Linked DNA regions of Anolis sagrei. The protein of the gene in region 1 purifies or fractionates together with the protein of each later gene. This does not show direct contact. Links are inferred from orthologs where the notes say so. Each region holds a gene or a part of one and is shown on either strand. Other genes may lie near its edges. The genes, in order: RPP21, RPP30 and RPP40.

Evidence for each region.
Region 2: the proteins of RPP21 (region 1) and RPP30 purify together in Homo sapiens (co-immunoprecipitation; 3 studies listed by BioGRID and IntAct, counting the BioPlex papers as one, with this or other methods). This does not show direct contact. The link is inferred for Anolis sagrei from reciprocal best matches to the Homo sapiens genes RPP21 and RPP30.
Region 3: the proteins of RPP21 (region 1) and RPP40 purify together in Homo sapiens (co-immunoprecipitation; 3 studies listed by BioGRID and IntAct, counting the BioPlex papers as one, with this or other methods). This does not show direct contact. The link is inferred for Anolis sagrei from reciprocal best matches to the Homo sapiens genes RPP21 and RPP40.

Annotation. Positions count from the first base shown.
Region 1 is NC_090022.1:23,636,423-23,644,156, reverse strand, and holds the start of RPP21 (ribonuclease P protein subunit p21), read right to left. Parts: upstream 3,033-7,734; 5' UTR 2,893-3,032; intron 1-2,892. UniProt on the Homo sapiens protein: Component of ribonuclease P, a ribonucleoprotein complex that generates mature tRNA molecules by cleaving their 5'-ends.
Region 2 is NC_090023.1:184,795,122-184,802,901, forward strand, and holds the start of RPP30 (ribonuclease P protein subunit p30), read left to right. Parts: upstream 1-4,690; 5' UTR 4,691-4,735; coding exon 4,736-4,817; intron 4,818-7,780. UniProt on the Homo sapiens protein: Component of ribonuclease P, a ribonucleoprotein complex that generates mature tRNA molecules by cleaving their 5'-ends. Also a component of the MRP ribonuclease complex, which cleaves pre-rRNA sequences.
Region 3 is NC_090024.1:86,369,620-86,376,816, reverse strand, and holds the start of RPP40 (ribonuclease P protein subunit p40), read right to left. Parts: upstream 3,104-7,197; 5' UTR 2,988-3,103; coding exon 2,862-2,987; intron 150-2,861; coding exon 5-149; intron 1-4. UniProt on the Homo sapiens protein: Component of ribonuclease P, a ribonucleoprotein complex that generates mature tRNA molecules by cleaving their 5'-ends. Also a component of the MRP ribonuclease complex, which cleaves pre-rRNA sequences.

The DNA.
Region 1 (7,734 bases):
GGCCTGAGGCTGTTAGGAATTGTGGGAGTTGAAGTCCAAAACACCTAGAGGGTCCAAGTTTGCCCATGCCCGATCTGCACAGGAGAATTAATGCAGTTTGACACTACTTTAATTGGTCTTGTTGCATGAAACCCGCCTGGGCAAAATTATTATTTGTTCCTTTCATGCCTGCAGCAGAGAGTTCCAAAGGCTTCGGACCAGTGGTTCTCAATCTAGGGTCCCCAAATGTTTTTGGCCTTCAACTCCCAGAAATCCCAACAGCTGGTAAACTGGCCGGGGTTTCTGGGAGTTGTAGGCCAAAAACATCTGGGGACCCCAGGTTGAGAACCACTGCTTCAGACACTTAAAGTGTTCTGGTCTCACTGCCAGGGGTTGCTTCCTTAATTGGGGCCAACAGCCTGGATCAATGCTATGGAATTCTGGGAGCTGTAGTTTGGTGAGGCACCAGCACTCTTTGGTAGAGAAGGCTAAAAGACCTTGCAAAACTACAGCTCTCCAAAATTCCATAGCATTGAGCCATGACAGGCAGCGCAGAGCATTGTGTCCTCCATCTCTGAAGCCAAGAAAGATCAGTGGATCAAGTTGATCACAGAGGTCGACATGGGCAGGAGCAGCCAGAAGGCGTGGAGGCTGCTGAGACGGCTGAGCAACGATCCCTCACAAACTAATACCCATGCCAACATAAAGGCAGATCAGATAGCACACCAACTCTTGAAGAATGGGAAACCCAACCTTGCCACCAAAGTAGGAAAGAAACCAATAGCCAGACAACCAGAGATTGAGAACAATAACCTCCATGAACCTTTTACATCTACTGAATTGGACATGGCTCTCAACAAATGTAAGAATGGCAAAGCAGCTGGCTTGGATGATCTACGGATGGAACAAATCAAGAACTTTGGCCCAAAAGCAAGGCGCTGGCTGCTGGAGCTGATGAACAACTGCACTGCATCCTGTCAGATCCCCAAAATCTGGAGGAAAGCAAGAGTCATCGCCATCTTGAAGCCAGGCAAAGACCGTAATGACCCAAAAAGCTACAGACCAATCTCCCTGTTGTGCCACCTCTACAAAGTTCTGGAGAGACTTATTTTGCATAGAATTATGGAAAATATAGACCCCTGTTTGATCCCACAGCAAGCTGGCTTCAGAAAAGGCAAAAGCTGCACATCGCAAGTGCTGAACCTGACTCAGCACATAGAAGATGGCTTTGAAAGGCAGCAGATCACAGGAGCTGTCTTCATAGACTTGTCAGCAGCCTATGATACTGTGAACCACCGCCTCCTCCTGAGAAAAATGTATAATATCACAAAGGACTACCACCTCACCCGCCTCATAGGAAACCTGCTACAAAACAGGAGCTTTTTTGTTGAGTTCCAGGGCCAGAGAAGCAGATGGCGGAAACAGAAGAATGGCCTGCCTCAGGGGAGCGTGCTTGCTCCATCCATGTTCAACATCTACACAAATGACCAGCCACTGCCAGAAGGGACAGAGAGTTTCATCTATGCTGATGATCGTGCCATTACTGCTCAAGCAGGGAGCTTTGAGATGGTAGAACAGAAGCTCTCCGAAGCTCTAGGCGCTCTTACTGCCTATTACAGGGAAAACCATCTGATCCCTAATCCATCTAAAACACAGACATGCGCCTTTCACCTTAAGAACAGACAAGCATCCCGAGCTCTGAGGATTACCTGGGAAGGAATCTCACTGGAGCATTGCAGCACACCCAAATACCTGGGAGTCACTTTGGACCGTGCTCTGACCTACAAGAAGCATTGCCTGAACATCAAACAAAAAGTGGGCGCTAGAAACAACATCATACGAAAGCTGACTGGCACAACCTGGGGATCACAACCAGACACAGTGAAGACATCTGCCCTTGCGCTATGCTACTCTGCTGCTGAGTATGCATGCCCAGTGTGGAACACATCTCACCACACTAAAACAGTAGATGTGGCTCTTAACGAGACATGCCGCATTATCACAGGGTGTCTGCGACCCACACCACTGGAGAAATTACACTGCTTAGCCGGTATTGCACCACCTGACATCCGCCGGGAAGTAGCAGCCAATAGTGAAAGGACCAAGGCAGAGACATCTCCAGCTCATCCCCTGTTTGGGTATCAGCCAGCACGCCAACGACTTAAATCAAGACATAGTTTTCTTAGATCTACAGAGACACTCGCTGGAACACCCCAGCAAGCGAGAGTCCAAAAGTGGCAGGCCCAAACCCAGCACCTCAATTCATGGGTGATACCAGATGAGAGACTCCCCCCTGGGCACTCAGAAGACTGGGCGACTTGGAAGGCGCTGAACAGATTGCGCTCTGGCACCACGAGATGCAGAGCCAATCTTAAGAAATGGGGCTACAGGGTGGAATCCTCGGCATGCGAGTGCGGAGAAGAGCAAACCACTGACCACCTGCTGCAATGCACCCTGAGCCCTGCCACATGCACGATGGAGGACCTTCTTGCGGCAACCCCAGAGGCACTCCAAGTGGCCAGATACTGGTCAAAGGACATTTAACCAAATACCAAATTTTGCAAAATCTGTATGGTTTTTTTTTTTTTTTTTCTCTTTCTTTCTTCTTTTTCCTTTTCTTTTTAATCTCTGTGTTTGTTTTGCTCTGTTAGAATTGTAATACAATGGTTGCTGATGACACGATAAATAAAAAATGACAGTTAAAGCAGTATCAAACTGCAGTGGAGATGCAACCCATCCTACAGAGAACAAAACAAATAAGCAAGCACACAGGTCTTTCAAGCAATAGACTGCTACAGATCAGGGCTGCAACCCTGTGCAATATATACAAGCACGTGGGAATGCAATACACGTGTAAAAACAACTCAGATACAGAACCTGCTGCAGCCAAAGCAACACAGAGGAGTTCCTTGCCTTTTAATTCTCCTGGAAGAATCCACTTTGCTTTTCCTCCAGTTGACTCTTAAACCCAGGGATGAGAAAAAAGCTTCTCTCTTTGATTAGTCGCCTTAATAAAGATCCTGGTTGGGATGTGTTCCTGTTTTTGGAGCAGCAAAGGCCTGTGGGAAATGTAGTCCCTTCCGGTTCCTTTCAATGAAACTGTTTGTGCAAGGATGCCCTCTAGCCAGGAGGACTAACAATATACCAGGGTTGAATGAAAAGTAATGCCTCCACCTTCGTTACTTGGGTTTGGATGGGAATATTTTAATAAATCAAACGCAGAAATAATCCTTAGAATGTGCTCTTTAACTACCACTATTCACTTTTTCCACATAATCACCGGACAATTGGATACATTTCTGCCAACGATGAACAAAGTTTTCTGAAGCCGTCACGGAACAAGTCGACACTGTTTCCGCAACCAGCGTCTCATAGTTCTCTCAACATCTTCATCAGAAACATAATGATGTCCCTGCAGATCTTCTTTCATTGTCGGAAACAGATGGAAGACAGCCAGTGCTAAATCTGGACTGTATGGAGGATGCCGAATTCTGGGCACCACAATTCAAGGGAGATGTTGACAAGCTGGAAAGTGTCCAGAGGAGAGCGACTAAAATGATAAAAGGTCTGGAGAACAAGCCCTATGAGGAGCGGCTTAAGGAGCTGGGCATGTTTAGCCTGAAGAAGAGAAGGCTGAGAGGGGATATGATAGCCATGTATAAATATGTGAGAGGAAGCCACAGGGAGGAGGGAGCAAGCTTGTTTTCTGCTTCCCTGGAGACTAGGACGCGGAACAATGGCTTCAAACTACAAGAGAGGAGATTCCATCTGAACATGAAGAAGAACTTTCTGACTGTGAGAGCCATTCAGCAGTGGAACTCTCTGCCCCGGAGTGTGGTGGAGGCTCCTTCTTTGGAAGCTTTTAAACAGAGGCTGGATGGCCATCTGTCAGGGGTGATTTGAATGAAATATTCCTGCTTCTTGGCAGGGGGTTGGACTGGATGGCCCATGAGGTCTCTTCCAACTCTTTGATTCTATGATTCTATGGTGGGATCCTGTCTCTGAAGTTCTGCAGTGTACCCATCTTGCACAGATCTTCTGATAGCCAAGCAAAGCAATAATGTGACCCATATGTTCTTGTGAAATGCCGATTATGCTTGAAATTTCTCTCTGAGCGATACGACGATCATCCTGAATCAATCTGTCAACCTTTTGCTTGTGAAACTCGGTGGTTGCTGTCACAGGACGTCCAACTATTTGTTTGTCACGCAAATCAGATGTTCCCACCTCAACATCAACACAATCACCATAAACAGCTTGCATTCTCTGATGAATCTCCTTTGGGGTGACACCTTCTGCTGTCAAGAATTCAATGACTGCACGTTGCTTAAGTTGCATTGACCGACCGTCTGAGCAGGGTTCCATACTTTGCATTTTAACAACTCAACCGTTGAATGCTAAGGCTTTCTGCCAAAATGGAACTGTAGAGGAGAGTCTACTGAACAAGCCAGTACCTGCTGCATACCAGTGCTGCCATCTGTTGAGAAGTTACAAAGGTGGAGGCATTACTTTTCATTCAACCCTCGTATGTCTCTAGATCTGCAAGCTTATTATGCTGCAAGCAGATCCTTTGCATCTACGCCTTAGAATTAATGCAATGAGTGGATCTGCAGTGTAGAATAAATGCAGTTTGACACCACTTTAACTGCCATGGCTCAGTGCTATGTACAATGGGAGCTGTAGTTTTGCATGGTCTTATAATAGTTTTTTTTCTCCTTGTGTCAGGAGCTACTTGGGAAACTGCAAATCGTTTCTGATGTGAGAGAATTGGCTGTCTGCAATGACGTTGCCCAGGGGACACCCTGATGTTTTGATGTTTTACCATCTTTGTGGGAGGCTTCTCTCATGTCCCCGCATGGGGAGCTGGAGCTGACAGGGGGAGCTCATCCGCACACTCCCCAGAATCAAACCTCTGATCTGTTGGTCTTGAGTCCTGCTGGCAACAAGGGTTTAACCCACTGCGCCACCGTGTCAAACCCATTATCATCGAGGGTCACTACCGCCTTATGGTTGCCTTCAAAGGTGCTTTGAATCCATGGATGGAGAATCAGTGGATACAGAGGACCAACTATACCCACACAATGTTCAATGCTCAGTTTGGGTCCCCAGATGTTATTGAATGGCAAGGAGCCCCTGGTGGCGCAATGGATTAAAACCTTGTGATCTGGGTCCATTGTTAAAATGAATGAAAATTAGCTCTATACAAACTTAAGAAAATAACACCAGCATTAAAAGTCCAAACTATGTCAGTATTGGGTTGTAAGTTTTTTCGGGCTGTATGGCCATGGTCTAGAGGCATTCTCTCGTGACGTTTCGCCTGCATCTATGGCAAGCATCCTCAGAGGTAGTGAGGTTTGTTGGAACTAGGAAAAAGGGTTTATATATCTGTGGAATGGCCAGGGTGAGACAAAGGACTCTTGTCTGCTGGAGCTAGGTGTGAATGTTTCAACTAACCACCTTGATTAGCATACAATGGGCTGACTGTGCCTGGAGCAAACGTTTGTTGAGAGGTAATTAGATGTCCCTGCCTGCTTCCTCTCTGTTGTTGTGCTGTTGCAATTTTAGAGTTTTTTTTAATACTGGTAGCCAGATTTTGTTCATTTTCATGGTTTCCTCCTTTCTGTTGAAATTGTCCACATGCTTGTGTATTTCAATGGCTTCTCTGTGTAGTGTGACATGGTCAGTATGGTCAATATGTCAGTATTGTAAGTGCTGAACTATGATTTGCGGAGAACATATGCTTCAGGCTACAGCTGGAGTTATAATTCACAGCATTATCACATGCTTGTCATCCCATGACTGATAAAAGGAGAATGGAGTTGAGAAGCAGGTGAGAGTAGTTCTGAACATGGCCTTGCTCATTTCATGCTTCCTTCCCACCAGCTGGAAATCAGTCAATCAAGCACTTGTGCTCGTTTTCCTGTGTCCATGGTCTTGGGATTTTGTCATGTTCTCATTTTGTTTTGTTTTGTTGGTACCATTTGGAATTGTGCTTTACAGTGCTATGTTTTATTGATCTTTGGAACATTGTTTGCTTTTTAAACTTTTCATCTTTACTTTTTGATAAACTACAAAAACTTCTGTCTGTGTGCAGTTCTGGTGATTTTAGCAAGGTGAATATATTCTGAGTCTCCTTCTCTGGAGGTTTTAAAATAGAAGTTGGATGGCCATGTCAGGAGTGCTCAGACCCTATATTCTTGCATGACAGAACGAGATTGGACTGAATGACTCTTGATGTTTCTTCCAATACTGTATTCTATGATTTCCAGCATTAAAAGATGTTCTGAGGTTGTCCCTGGTGAAACGACCATCACAAATCAAGGTCCAAGCTGCGTTTCAATTCACACTTTACATACTTCATAATTAGGAGCTGAGACTACATTTGCACCTGAGACTTCCTTTCATGTTATGATACCACTTGGTATCATAATATGAAGTTTTTGTTTTTGTAGGCTTTGGCCTTCATTCTTGGGGCCTACCAAGTCACTCATGATAAGACTTCTCCACACATACAAACACTGTTGACTCAGGAGCAAATATTGCTGCATATAATCATTGACTGCGTGTTTGTTTCTCTCAAGTTGAGAAGTTCTGCTGAAGATGAGGTGTTCCACACTTCTTTGGAGTGAACTGTGAATTTGGCTGAGAATTTCCGAATTCTGCATTGTGTACATAGGAGGTGAGACTTTTCATTTCCTCCCTTCTGTGTGTGGCATCCAAATGCATGAAGGTTAAATGTGTGATATGATGAGGAACCTCTAATTCAGAGCTTTCTAAACTGTGTGTCATTACATGTTAGGGTGTCGGATGCAGCATGTAGCTGTGTCGCACAAACGTAATGAGAAACTTCTCAAGTCTATGAAAAATAAGCAACAAATCATATATTGTCGAAGGCTTTCATGGCTGGAATCACTCAGTTCTTGTGGGTTTTTTCGGGCTATATGGCCATGTTCTAGAGGCATTTCTCCTGACGTTTTGCCTGCATCTATGGCAAGCATCCTCAGAGGTGAGGTCTCTGAGGATGCTTGCCATAGATGCAGGTGAAACGTCAGGAGAAATGCCTCTAGAACATGGCTATATAGCTCAAAAAAACCCACAAGAACTGAACAAATCATATATTTTAAAAATAAACATGAAAAGTTTTTGTGAGGTGTATTGTGGCCCCATATATTTCATCATTATAATTTATGTATGTGTCAGTGTCTCCTATAAACAGTTGGCTTAACTTTTGATTTGCCAACAAATGTATTTCAAAGCAATTCCAATTTTGGATGTGTGTGTATGGGGGGGGGGGGGGGCACACACAAAAAGATGGAAAAAATGGCAGTGAAGCAAGAGAGTGTTGTTGTTGTTAGTGTTGTGTGCTTTCAAGTAGTTTCTGGTTTATGACAACCCTAATGATTTTCTTAGATTTGTTCAGAAAGAGTTTGCCTTTGGTCTCTCTCGTGGGCTTAGAGAATGTGCACGCCCAAGTTCACTGTCTGGGGTCATGGTCCAAAGAGTCATGGTCCAAAGATACACCATGTAGGTGCCCCTTGCACAGTTCTGGGAATCTTGAAGAGCTCCTTTAAAGCTATCCAAAACTTAGACTGCATCTATAGACCCAATGACATGGGAGCTGTAATCTAAAAATGCTGGGTGGTGAAAAAACCTCAAATCATGCAGCATATTTGATCTTCCATTAAACCACTGAGAACTGTTTCTTTTCAGTTGCTGAGTTCTGATCCAAAGTGGTTGCCTCCTCCATGTGACATC
Region 2 (7,780 bases), on another chromosome or scaffold:
CACCCCTTCAAAATCTACAACGCTGTTGGTAATAACTAACGTTCCGTTAGAATACTCGAGGACCTGGGCTTTCCAGTTTCCTATGTTTATTCCACATTTTTGGTTAGCTTTAATCCCATCTTTAAATCTCTTTTGCTGTCCACCTTCATTTTGTTTTCCATTTGTGAGCTGGGAATAAACTAATTGCTTTGAGAGATGGTGAATGCTTGAGTGCTTGGATGTTTATTTCACATTTATTAAGTGTAAGCATTTTTTGTGTGCAAGCATAAGTTTAAACACTGGATTTGCATTGATAGGTAGACACAAAGGGGAACAGAGCTTGGGTAGCCATTCCAGCTCCTGAAAGGTATATGTCTATCAGTCCTACCCAAAAGTCAATCAGTGGTGCAGATTCAAATTTCATGTTGCAAATTGTTTAGTATATATTATCTCTAATCCATTCAGGAAGTTTTGTCCACATTTTCCCATTGTGACTGTTTCTTTCATGAATTCCCAATTAAAATTTTTGAATGCTTTTTCTGCATCTAAGAACAGGAGGGCTCCTTATTTTTCACTACACTTATGAAAATATTCTATCAGATTGAGTATCATTCTCGTGTTCTCTCTCATTTGTCTTCTAGGTAAGAAACCTGCTTGGTCTTCATGTATCCATCCAGTTAGCACTTTTTTTAATCCAGCAGTTCTCAAAGTGTGCTCTGCAGAGCCCTTGGGGCTCTGTCTAGCATACTGAGGGACTTCGTGGTTCCCTTCTTCTTAGTTAAAATTGTTTTCCATTTTTAATATTGTATTATTTCTTTCCTTTTCCTTTTTTCTTGCACAATGAATAAGATATGTGCAGTGTCATTGGAATTTGTTAGATTCCCATTAATTAGATTCACGTGCTTTATTTAATTATTTAAATTTATGAAGTAGTTATTGTACTTGCCTTAGATGTTTTATTCTTGGGAGTATTCGTTCATTTTGTATTGTTTTATGGCATTGACTGTTTGCCATTTTTCCTAGAAACCGCCCTGAGGGAGATAGGGTGGGTTACAAATAGAGTTTATTATCATTATGATGATTATTACTGTTTTTTTTCAAGCAGTTCACACAAACACACTCCATCCATCTGCCCCTAGCCCAGTCTGCTGTCAAATTTTAAAATGCAATGTGTCAAAAAGTTTGCCCATGCCTGATATATGTACATAAAGGTAAACGTAAAGATTTCCCCTGACATTAAGTCTAGGCATGTCTGACTCCAGGGAGTGGTGCCCATCTCCATTTCTAAACTGAAGAGCCAGTGTTGTCCAGAAACACCTCCAAGGTCATGTGGACAACATGACTGCACGGAGCACCATTACCTTCCTGCGGAGCGCCATCACCTTCCCGCAGAAGTGGTACCTATTGATCTACTCATATTTGCATGTTTCCGAACTGCTAGGTTGGCAGAAGCTGGGCCTTACAGGGGGAGCTCACCCGCTCCCCAGATTCGAACTGCCAGCAAGTTCAGCAGTTCAGTGGTTTAACCTGGTGCACCACCAGGGGGAACATATTTATTTTTTATTTATTTACGACATTTATATGCCACCCTTCTCACCCCCAACGGGACTCAGAGTGGCTTACTATATATATATATATATATATATATATATATACCCACACATACACACACACACATATATACACATACATACAATATATTATATTATTAGCATAGTGCAATATCAGTATTATATATTACTATATTGTACTATACCATTATATTGTAATATTATTAGTGATAACACATGTAATATAAAATCTATAATTATATCATATTATTATTGTTATTATATATTATCCTATATATTATACTATATATACAGTATATATAGTATAATATGTTATTAGTAATATTACATGTAATATAAAATCTATAATTATAATATCATATTATTATTGCTATTTTATATTATACTCTATATTATACTATATATACATTTTATATAGTACAATATATAGGATAATATATAAACATTCTTGGGCTCCACGTAAAAGTTTTGCTTCCAAAAGAGTTCCATGGCTGAAAATGTTTGAGAACCCCTGCTTTAATCTATTTGCCTGTATTAAAGCAAATATTGTATAATTTGTGTTTAGCAATGAAAAGGGTCTGTAATTCTGTATTTGTAGGGGATCTTGATCTTCTATTGGAATCAGTATAATATTGGCTTCTTTGCAGAACCCCTACATTGCTTTTGCAGAACCCTAGGGTTCCAAGGAACACAGTTAGGGAACTGCGGCTCTAAAGCAAAATCATGTTGCCCTTGAGATATTGTTGAACTGCAATGCCAGCATTCCTTATGGTTGGCTCTACTGACCAGGGCTGCTGAGAAGCACAGTTAAAGTACATCTGCCAAACTTTTTATGATTCCCAGCCCTGCTGTAAACTGTCATCAAGAAAGTTAGCAGGGTAATGCCTCCAAGTACAAAATGGTGTTATATCCGTTCAAAGCATGGCACAAGGCTGGCCCTAAAGTTAGTGAAAGAGAAATGATCATCTCAGGATACCTAAGATGTCAAGCAGTTGAAGGGAGAATGAGAAAATTAAGCAAAAATTAGTTTTTCTGGGGAAAATAATAAAAAGTATTTTTTTAAAAAAATGAAAAAAATTGTTTTGAATCAGGGAGCACACGACTCCTCTGTTGCGCCAGCTCCACTGGCTGCTAGTCTGCTACCGGGCACAATTTAAAGTGCTGGCTTTAGCCTATAAAGCCCTAAATGGTTCCGGTTCGGCTTACCTATCCGAACGTATCTCTCCTTATGAACCTGCTAGGACTTTAAGATCATCCGGGGAGGCCCTGCTCTCGATCCCGCCTTCCTTGCAGATGCATTTGGAGGGGACGAGAGACAAGGCCTTCTCAGTGGTGGCTCCTCGGCAATGGAACGCCCTTCCCAGGGATATAAAATTGGCTACCTCCCTTCTAGCATTCCTCAAAATTGTTAAGCCCTGGCTCTTCAAGCAAGCTTTTTCTATTGGAGCATAATTAGATGAAAACGAATATATGGACAACGAATATATAGAGCATAATTAGACAAAACGAATATATGGACAACAATTTTAGTAAGGAGACGCCGAGGACTTTGTTTTTATAGACATTATTGTTTCTTTTATATTACATACTAAATGTTGAATTGTTTTTATAATTGTTTGAACTGTATTTTGATAATTGTTATGGCATCTAATCACTGCCGACTATGAACCGCCTTGAGTCGCCTCTGGCTGAGAAAGATGGTATACAAATGCGGTAAATAAATAAATAAATAAATAAATAAAAACAACACAATGCACATTTTCCTGTATTTATTTCCAAAACTTACATTATTTCTAAAAATGATGTAACTTTTAAAAATGTAATAATAATACTTTGTTTATATATTGCAATATCTCCCCAAAGGGACTCAGGATAGTTTACAACAAAAGTAACAAAGTGGCAAGCATTCAATGCCAAAATGTATGTATTATGTCCAAACATTAAAGTTTTTGTTTTGATGCTCCTTTTCTCAGTTCTTTCAGGGTCTTTCCACATAGCCATATCATCCAGAATATCAAGGTAGATAATCCACAATACCTGCTTTGAACTGGATTATCTGAGTCCACACTGCCATACAATCCAGTTCAATATGGATTTTATACAGCTGTGTGGAAGGGGCCTTATTTATTTATTTATTTACAACATTTATATGCCAGCTTCTCACCACAAAGGGGACTCAGAGCGGCTTACAAGATATATATAGGTAAAGGTTGTCCCCGGACATTAGGTCCAGTCGTGTCCGACTCTGGGGGTTGGTGCTCATCTCCATTTCTAAGCTGACGAGCAGGCATTGTCCGTAGACACCTCCAAGGTAATGCGGCCGGCATGACAGCATGGAGCGCTATTACCTTCCTGTTACCTTCTACTCAAATTTGCATGTTTTCGAACTGCTAGATTGGTAGAAGCAGGGGCTAACAGCGGGAGCTCATCCCACTCCCCGGCGTTGTCCGTAGACACCTCCAAGGTAATGCGGCCGGCATGACCGCATGGAGCGCCCTTACCTTCCCGTTACCTTCTACTCACATTTGCATGTTTTCGAACTGCTATGTTGGCAGAAGCTGGGGCTGACAGCGGGAGCTCATCCCACTCCCCAGATTCGAACCTGCGACCTTTCAGTTTACAAGCTCAGCGGTTTAACCCAATGCGCCACCGGGGGCTCCCACAAGATATGTATGCATACAATATATTACATTATTAGCATAGTACAATATCAGTATTATATATTTCTACATTGTACAATACCATTATATTGTAATATTATTAGTAATATTACATGTCATATAAAATATATAATTATAATATCATATTAGTAGTATATATAGTCCTTATATCCCAGGATCTGATCCCAGATTATCTCCTTTGAACTGGATTATATGAGTCCCCACTGCCATATAATCCGGGATAAACAGATAATCTGGGATCACATCCTGGGATATAGGGCCTGTCTGGAAGGGCCCAGAGTTTACAGAATGGTATTGTATAGTATTAGTTGTGCCTATGTTTAGTTGCTCTTAAGCAAGCACAAACTACATTCATTTGGCATCTACTAAGGATGCTGGTGAGCTTGAGAGTCTACTGCTGGGGGAGGGAACTACAATCCCCAGCATGCAACGGGGCGCGATGTGGGCGGGGCGTGGAAGGGCTGCCTTTCTGGCCTGGCTCTAGCCCACGTGGGCGGGTGCAACATGGCGGGCTTTGTGGATCTGAACATCCCTCACTTGCCGGAGAAGGAGGCGCTTCGGAAGTTGGTGGAAACCGCGGCGCACCGTGAGTGTGTGTCAGGGGCAGGGAATCAGGCAGCCTGGGAATGCGTGGGAATGCGTGGACACGTGTTTCCCTCAGAGATCCAGACCCAGGCTGCGATAAAGGGCTGGCTGGCACTGTTTCTCCTTTCCCTTTGCTCTCTTTGGACCCTCTTCTGCCTTAACTAATTTGTCCCTTGGCTCCGTAAGAAACACCTCCTGATGCACTTTGACTTGGGTGCATCTACACTGTAGAATGAATGCGTTACAACTGCACTTTGCACTAGATCAATACTATGAGATCGTGGGAGTTGTAGTTTGATCAGGTCTTTAGCCTTCTCTACCAAAGGGCCCTTCCAGACATGCCCTGTATCTCAGGATCTGATTCCAGGTTTTCTGTTTATCCCAGATTATCTGGCAGTGTGGACTCATATAATCCAGTTTAAAGCAGACAACTTGGGATCTCTAGGTTGCTGTAGGTTTTCCGGGCTATATGGCCATGTTCTAGAAGCATTCTCTCCTGACGTTTCGCCTGCATCTATGGCAGGCATCCTAAGAGGTTATGACCTCACAACCTCTGAGAATGCCTGCCATAGATGCAGGCGAAACGTCAGGAGAGAATGCTTCTAGAGCATGGCCATACAGCCCGAAAAATCTACAGCAACCCAGTGATTCCAGAAATGAAAAGCCTTCGACAATAACTTGGGATCTGATCCTGGGATATAGGGCCTGTCTGGAAGGGCGAAACTACAACTCCCATGATCACATTGTATAGAGCCAGGGTAATAAATTCTTCAGTGTAGATGTAGCCCTTTACTGAGTCATCATATTCATCCATGTAAGGGCCCTTCCACACAAACCTATATTCCAGAATGTCAAGGCAAAAAATCCCTCAATATCTGCTTTGAACTGGGTTATCTGAGTCCACACTGCCATATAACCCAGTTCGAAGCAGATAATGTGAGATTTTATACAGCTGTGTGTAAGTGGCCTTAGCTGCCATATAAAATCCAGATGATCCGCTTTAACTGAATTATACGACAATGTAGACTCATATAATCCAGTTCAAAGCAGATAATAATTTATTTCTTACCCGCCTCTCTGCAGCCAAATAATGTTGGTTATATCTGCTTTGATAATCTGGATTATATGGCAGTGTAGAAAGGTCCCCAGTTTCTGAATACAGATTGTCTGGTTTAAACGGGATTATATGATAGTATACATCCAGGGCCCTTCTACACTACAGAATATCAAGGCAGAAAATCCCACAATATCTGCTTTGAACTGGGTTATCTGAGTCCACACTGTCATATATCCCAGATCAGCGTCAAATTATGTTATGATCTTACAAATTAATCACCAAAACATCATGTTTTACAACAAATCAACAGAAAAAGCAGTTCAGTATATGGTAACGTTATGTAGTAATTACTGTATTTATGAATTGAGCACCAAAACATTGCAATGTAGTGAAACAGGTGGGAGGCAAACTGTGTTGGATAATACAAAACACTGGATGAGCGAAGGTTGGATAAGCGAGACTCTACTGTAATAATTAGATTTCTTATCCGCCTCTCCCTGCGGCTCAGTCATGTGGATTATCTGCTTTGATAATTTGGATTATATGGCAGTGTAGAAAGGCCCCCATTTTCGGAATCCAGATTATTTGAACTGGATTAGATCGAGGTCTCTTCTACACTGCCAGTTGATCCAGAATATCAAGGCAGAAAATACCATAATGTCTGTTCTGAACTGTGTTATCTGAGTCCACACTGCCATGTATTTCAGTTCAAAGCAGAAAATGTGGGATTTTATTGAGGTGTGTAGAAGGGGGCACAGAATATCAAAGCAGACAATCCACATTATCTGATATCTCTTTCCGCTTCTATCCCCATCTACACTGCCCTATCATGCAGTATGGTCAGTGTAAATGCATTTCAAGGCATTATATGAATCTACACTAACTATACAAGTAATGTACACAACATACTTTGAATGATCACAAATTGCAAAATGAGTGATTCCTTTTCTTGCTAACATACACCGAATTGAATCAGTTTGCACCAAAATTTAATTCCTTTGTGTTTGCTTGGTATACAAGGAGCACTTCATATAATCAATGGATTGTTATTTTTATGATGATTTTTTGAAATTACTCTTCTTGTGAAAATAAAATTCAGCTTATTGGCTGAAGACCTCTGAGGTTTGGATGTGATGTTGTCTTAACTACTTTATAATGACAATAATCTATATATATAAATTTGTTAGGGGCATCCAACGAGGAAACAAAACTCAAAAACCCCCCAACGAAACTTAACCAAAATTCCCATGCCCATAACACAACCCACAAGGTACAAACATATCTACTCAAAATGAAAAACAACACAACAGCACACTCACAAAACGGCAAAACAACAAAACTCAAAAAACCCCCAATGAAACTTAACCAAAATCCCCGTGCCCATAACACAACCCACAAGGTACAAACATATCTACTCAAAATGAAAAACAACACAACAACACACTCACAAAACGGCAAAACAACAAAACTCAAACATCCCCCAACGAAACTTAACTAAAATCCCCGTGCCCATAACACAACCCACAAGGTACAAACATATCTACTCAAAATGAAAAACAACACAACAACACACTCACAAAACAGCAAAACAACAAAACTCAAAAATCCCCCAACGAAACTTAACCAAAATCCCCGTGCCCATAACACAACCCACAAGGTACAAACATATCTACTCAAAATGAAAAACAACACAACAACACACTCACAAAACGGCAAAACAACAAAACTCAAAAATCCCCCAACGAAACTTAACTAAAATCCCCGTGCCCATAACACAACCCACAAGGTACAAACATATCTACTCAAAATGAAAAACAACACAGCAACACACTCACAAAACGGCAAAAGAACAAAACTCAAAAAAACCCCAACGAAACTTAACCAAAATTCCTGTGCCCATAACACAG
Region 3 (7,197 bases), on another chromosome or scaffold:
TTACCTTTTTTCACAAATGTATTAATAAACTCCTCTGTTACAAACTCATGAAGGGGCAATTTCTTCACCAAGTAGTACTCCCCAAAGTCTCCAACTGCATTTTTCAGTATTTCTGGAACCATTCCACATTCAGGGATCAACAAGGACACCTATTCACAGAACATTTGGGACACGAATGAGATCTAATTGACAAATCTGACTGCAAAATCTCTTTTTAAGCAGCTCTTTTGATAACATACAATTATAACAATACAAAGTACTTTAAATGAAATATTGCAATAGCAAGTAAAATTATTAAGATGCTATTATGCACACATCAAATAATACTTTTCAGTTTCAGTTTCAGTTTTTTTCCCATATCAGAAATGGCTTGAGAAACTGCAAGTTGCTTATAGTGTGCGAGAATTGGCCATCTACAAGGACTTTGCCCAGGAGATGCCCAAATGTTTTACCATCCTGTAGGAGGCTTCTCTCATGCCCGGACAGACAGGAATTCACCCCATCTCGCGGATTCAAACTGCCGACCTTCAGGGTCTCACTACCTCTGAGGATGCTTGCCATAGATGCAGGTGAAACGTCAGGAGAGAATGCCTCTAGAACATGGCCATATAGCCCGAAAAAACCTACAACAACCCAGTGATTCTGGCCATGAAAGCTTTCAACAATGCATTGCATTTACTGCGTTTCCATCTGACTCTTCCCTCCACATCTCCCATTTCACTCTAATTTAATGCAGTTGGACACCAGTTAACTGACATGCTCAGTGCTATGGGATCATGGGAGTTGTAGTTTGAAAATGTCTTTAGCATTCTATGGCAAGTAATGTTGTTGCCCCAGCAAACTATAACCTTGACTTCTTTGGCTAATAAGAATAGCCAATTGAGCAACTGGAGACCTGTAGTTTCGGGGGACTCAGACCAGTATCTTGGCCTGAGATCCACTTTGGACCATAGACCAACCCTGAAGCAGCGCTCTCTCTTTCTGGATAAAAACAGGCTTTCTGCGAGCTGCTTGGGACAGATAGTTTTCTCTGTGACTGGTGAATTATGTGGAATTTTTAAGATGTACTTGTACTGCTGAAATAAACTTGACCTAGTGCTACAAGCAGGTTGGATCAAAAGCAATGCCACACTTAGATCCTTTGTAGGAGCAATAGCTCTCTGGGACTCCTCCAGGTCTCCGCACATAGTCAGGAGTTCCCTGGGCTTGAGAGGGCAATATAATGGAAGACATGCCATATGTTGAATTCCAACTACAGAAGCTGTTTATTGCGGACATAGTAATAAGGACAAGATGCATGGGACACAAAATGTCTGTCACACCCCCAAATGGGGTCGCAAGGCTTTTATCGCTTTGACAGAGAATTAAAGACACATTCTCATTGGTCTAAGCTGGCTGATACAATTTTCACTGCCTCTATATGACTTTGACAGGCATGAAGGCACACATGGGATCTTAACAATGGCACAACAATAATCTATTGTTCTCTGGCCATGAACACTCAGTTGGAAAGTATCTATAGGTCAATTACTTCAAGCGGCTGGGAAATTAGGGAAGTATTAGAGAGTACTTTATGTACAACTCTGGTCCTTGGCAGCCAGTTAGGCCCCAATAGGGCTAGATTTACACTGCCATATAATCCAGTTTCTGAATCGAGATTCTTTGCTTTGAACTACATTATGAGAGTCTACACTGCCATATAACCTAGTTTTAAGATGATATTCTGGATCTGGAAACTGGGTTATATGGCAGTGGGTTCAGAAACTGGGTTATATACCATATAACCTAGTTTCTGAATCCAGAATATCACCTTTAAGCTAGATTATATGGCAGTGTAGATTATAATCTAGTTCAAAGCATAGATCCAGCCCTAGTGTGTGTTATCTATCTGTCTTCGTGCTTGATTTCAGGGCCCTTTCCAGCTCTATGTAATTTAGTCCTTTCCAACACTACACTCCATTCCTAAGGAATGTATAGGCCAGGGGTCCTCAAACTATGGCCCGGGGGCCGGATATGGCCTTCCAAGGTCATTTATCCGGCCCTTGCTCAGGGTCAACCTAAGTCTGAAACGACTTGAAAACACACAATAACAACAACAATCCTATCTCATCAGCCAAAAGCAGACCCACACTTCCCATTGAAATACTAATAAGTTTGGGCTGTTGTAGGTTTTTTCGGGCTATATGGCCATGGTCTAGAGGCATTCTCTCCTGACGTTTCGCCTGCATCTATGGCAAGCATCCTCAGAGGTAGTGAGGTAAAACGTTTGTGGATCCCTGGTATAGACCATAATGGGAGAACCAGTATGGCATGGCGGTTGGAGTGTTGGGCTATGACTCTGGAGACCAGGGTTCAAATTCCAGCTTGCCTCTGACAGATTCGACATAGAATCACCGCAAGTTGCAAGTTCTCAATGAGGGTAAACAACAATACCTCACTGAGAACTTCAGGATACAACTTTGTGTTGTTGTTGACTGCCATCAAGTGGAATTCCACTTATGGAGACCCTACAAACATACAAGACATGGTGCCATAATGGAATTGCCACTAGCAGGCCAGGGCTCGTGGAAATAAGTGAAGTGCACTGAGGTTCATATGCATGAGGGTAAGGGTTCATCTACACCCTAGATTTAATGCAGTTTGACACCACTTCAACTGCCCTCAGTCAATGCTATGGAATCAGGACCATGGAAAACTGCAAAGGATGGTGGCATCACCAGAGGGCGGGGGGGGGAGGAGTATTCTACTGCCTTAAAGTGACGTCACGCTTCTCTTCAGAGAGCCTCGACCACGCCCCCTCCAGCAGACCAACAATTCTTGCCGCCACGCGCCGCCCCCCCTCCTCCCTCCCGCGCGCTCACCCGGCAATTGAAGGCGTGGTTGCGCACGTGCGCCGCGTGGCGGGAGCGCTCGTGCCGCACGTGGCTCCTCTCGCACACCAGCAGGTGGCGGGGAGTCTCGCGGAGCCATCTCAGAGGGACGAACATGCTTTCCTCTTCCTTTTCTCTCCGGTCGCGCGCCCAAGCTGAGAGAAGGGCCAAGGAGGGGGCGGGGCCTGAACGTCACGCGCAGCCGGGAGAGAGAGAGAGAGAGAGAGAGACGAGGAGGAGGAGTTGTCAGAAGGGGGCGGGGCGATCTGTGCGCATGCGTATTTTCCTGCTTGGGGGAAGCGCTCCTCCCAATACCTCGTTGCCCTCACTGGAATGGCCAAAGTGAAGTTGTTGCTTCTTGTCCCAAGGAAAGAAGTTTTGATTCTTGTGGTTATAATAAGCAATGTCTTTAGCAGCAGTATATTGTCAGGAGCTGTCTCTCTTATTATGCAAAATATTAGGACAGGGAGTAGAATTGTACTGAATATACAGTCCATACTTCAGGAAATAAAGCCCAACTGCTCATTGGAGGGAAGAATAGTAGGGGCAAAGATGAAGTACTTTGGTCACATCATGAGAAGAAAGGAAAGCTTAGAGAAGACAATTATGCTGGCGAAAATGGAAGGAAAAAGGAAGAGGGGCCGACCAAGGGCAAGGTGGATGGATGGTATCCTTGAGCTGATGGTGGTGACGGCCGACAGGGAGCTCTGGCATGGGCTGGTCCATGAGTTCACTAAGAGTTGGAAACAAATGACATTATGGTGATTTTGTCAGTGGCAATTGTTTTTAATGCTAGCCAAGGACTGTTGCAAAGGTGTAAAAAAGCAGGGCATGTGGCCATGCAAATGTTATTAACAATGTAGACCACACAAGCTAGGAGAGGCTGCAGCCGTTTGCTTTTGCCCAAGTCTATTGGGAAGGGCGAGATTCTATCTCCTTCCTGTCTGCAAAGTCAATTGAGTGCAAACTACTTTGCATTTTGAACTCAGTTTGCAGCAGTTAGAAAGCTGGGAGGACAAGGAAGACTATGAGTTATGGAAGGAGAAACTGTTGTAATTTTTCTTAAACAGCTGAAAAATGGGATGAGAGAATATTTACCAGAGTTCTCTGTGCCAAAGAGGGACAGGAAGATGGTATGTATACATAGAATCAAAAGATTGTGAGCCCAGAAATTGGTATTTAGCACAGCTGTCATTTTGTTACTGCTTATTATTCAACATTTCAGAAAGTTTTGCACATCATCCAGCTTTGCCTTCTGCCCATCTCTTCTGTAGCTGATGTTTCTGGTTCTAAATACCATGTTAAAAAATAGTTGCCACCTGACAACGTGGAGCTGTCAGTTTCCTTTATTTTCTTAGCATATTAAGGATTTGTCACTTTGAAAAGAAAGCCACTGCAGTTAAGATCTGAAATTGCTTTTTACGTGCTTTCTTCTTGTCCCTTTTTTGTTTCATTTTGTGTCTTTTAAAACTGGGAGCACAGACTATGTCATTACTGATCTTTTAAACGCCCCGAGAGCCATTTACAGTTGAAGAGCAGGGTGAAATACTTCAAATAAATAAAATAAGGTGTAGGATCTAAATGCTTGCATCTGGAGCTGAGTGTCAAATCTGCACTCATTACATTCATTGAATTAGACTCAGGTATGTCATTCTCAAAGCCATAGGGGAGGCACGCATGAAAAACAAGTGTGTGCCATCAAAATTACATACAGGACAAAATATAATAAATCAATTGGTTGTCCTCCATTGTTTACGCAACGCTTTTTCCTGAAGTGACATCTCTAATCAATGTTCATTTTATACACACCTAATTGCTTGCTTCAAAGAGCAAGATGTTCCAGGCAATTGAATTTTCTGAATATATAATACCTAATGTTTGTGAATACCTGTTGAGGCAGGAGTTTCCAAGCAACTGTTATGCATGTTTTCACATATGACAACAAAAGCATTTCTTTCTCTTCATGATACAGTTCAACAAAATAGAGTTAGACTATGTTCCCCCAATTACTGTCATTTCACTAATGTCACTTACACTATGTAAAAAGTTAGTAGTGAATTTTACCTTTCACTCTTAACAACCGTCTTGTGAGAAAGTAAATATGGTCAGTTTTGATTACAGTGCAACTTACTTATCCACAGATTCGATATCCACAGTTTCACTTAACCACGTTTCAAAAAGTATTCCCCCCCCCACACACACACACACATACAAACACTCCAGAAGTGTTTGTGGACCTTTCTAGGCTCTCCAGTGCAATTAAATGGTGCGCTTGTAGTCAAAATATAGGGTTTGTTATTATCTATGGTTTCAGGAACCCACTGGGTGGTATTGATTTTGGATCGTCTCCCCACAAATACGGGGTTGCATTGTACTCATATTGAGTACTTATGTTTTATAGCCACCCTGTTATCATGAGAAAACCCATAGATGAAGCAATATAAACAATGCAGATAAATCTAAGCATAATATTAAATTCTTTGTTTCTCAAACAATTATTTGAATAGTTTCCATAAGGGAACTTCAACTGGATAGATATCATATAGGGGTGTCAACCTTTTACTTCTACTAAGTTCCTTATCAGAATGTTTGTCATATTTGTTACTTAAATAGAAAGAAATCGATGCCCATAGGAAATTTCCTCCCATTGAGGACAACAGAGGCACAATGAGAGTATTCTGATCAAAAGCATGGTCAGTGGTAAGAGTGAAATCTACCTTCTCTGACATGATTTCAGGCTTCTGCCATTCCCCCTTTCAATGGCTGTCTTACCAAAAATCAAGCATGACATGGTAAACTACTGTGAACTTTACTCTTGTAGTTTTCAAATGGATGGCTAGTGCTTTGGTTATAATATTTCATAATAGGAGTTGGTTGCGTTAGTGCTTTCTTGTGTATCAGGAGTGACTTGAAAAACTGCAAGCCGCTTCTCGTGTGAGAGAATTGGCCATCTGAAAGGACGTTGCCCAGGGGACATCCGGATGTGTTTGATGTTTTACCATCCTTGTGGGAAACTTCTCTCATGTCCCCTCATGGGGAGCTGGAGCTGACAGAGGGAGCTCATCCATGCTCTCCCCAGATTCAAACCTCAGACCTTTTGGTCTTCGGTCGTGCCGGCACAAGGGTTTAACCTATTGCGCCGCCGATGGCTCCTTATTGCTGATGCATTGTTATCTTAGTATATAAAATGTTAAGGTGTTGAAGCACTAGTTCCCAATTTGAAAATAACATTTATTATCCTACAAATAAAAGTAAGTGTTTAATGACCAAATAAGGCATCTTGTCATTTTATATGAGCAATCCTTATGCATTATAAAAATATTTCATTTTAAGATGTGAAAAGCTTTTAACCTCTGGCAATCTCCTTTAATATTCTGAGTAAATTGACAAATGAATGACCTAAGAAAATACAATTGAGTAAATCCAGTTTTATGAAATTACAGAAGAATATATTATCAGGTAGCCTGTACAGAATGCTTTCAGGTAATAGTCTACAAAAACATAAAGTAAGATGGAATTTGGAAAGTTATTTCTTGTAATAGATTGCAAAATAATTGCTATTTCTTCAAATTCTATTTATAAAAGAATACCGTTCAAACTATAAGGGAAGTACTTCTTGTGAATGCCCATTCCTTCCTCTACATATGAGAATTGTGCCCAAGGCTGAAAAAAGGCACTTTGTTGCTGATGAAGACTAAAAAAAAAATATATCAGATTGCAATATGGAGCAGAAAATCAAATTAAAGGTTAATGCAATTTTAATGTTCATGCAGCCAGCCTAATTTGTTGCAGTGAAGGGCATAATTAAAAGCTAATTAAGTAAAATGAATTCTTACACTTTTAATGCCATGTTTATTCCACTCTACCATCTGGAAAAGCCATCAGAGAACCACACCTTCCATTTAAAAAAAATAATATTTTGTTAAAATAAAACCTGTTATTGCATTCAAATATAAGTTGGTATCATGTTGGGGCATTTTTCCAGCATAATCTCTGATTACACTGGGATTGTACTTTATATGTTTGTATTTGGAGGTATCAGTACCCTCTTAGGTAAGAAGTTATTTATTGCAGACGTGAATAACAGTGCAATATGCTAGTTTGATGATGATGATAAAAATTGTTAATTTCCTCTCCTCACAGCTCAAGGCAAGGTACAACACAGTCAAAATACATTCACATAGAATACATACTATAAAATACATATATTAAAACACATTACTATAAATGCATATAGATTAAAAGACATCGTACAAATATTAAAATACAATAGAAGTGGAATGTGAATTTAAAATTCATAATTCAAAATTGACTGGGGAGGCCTGCT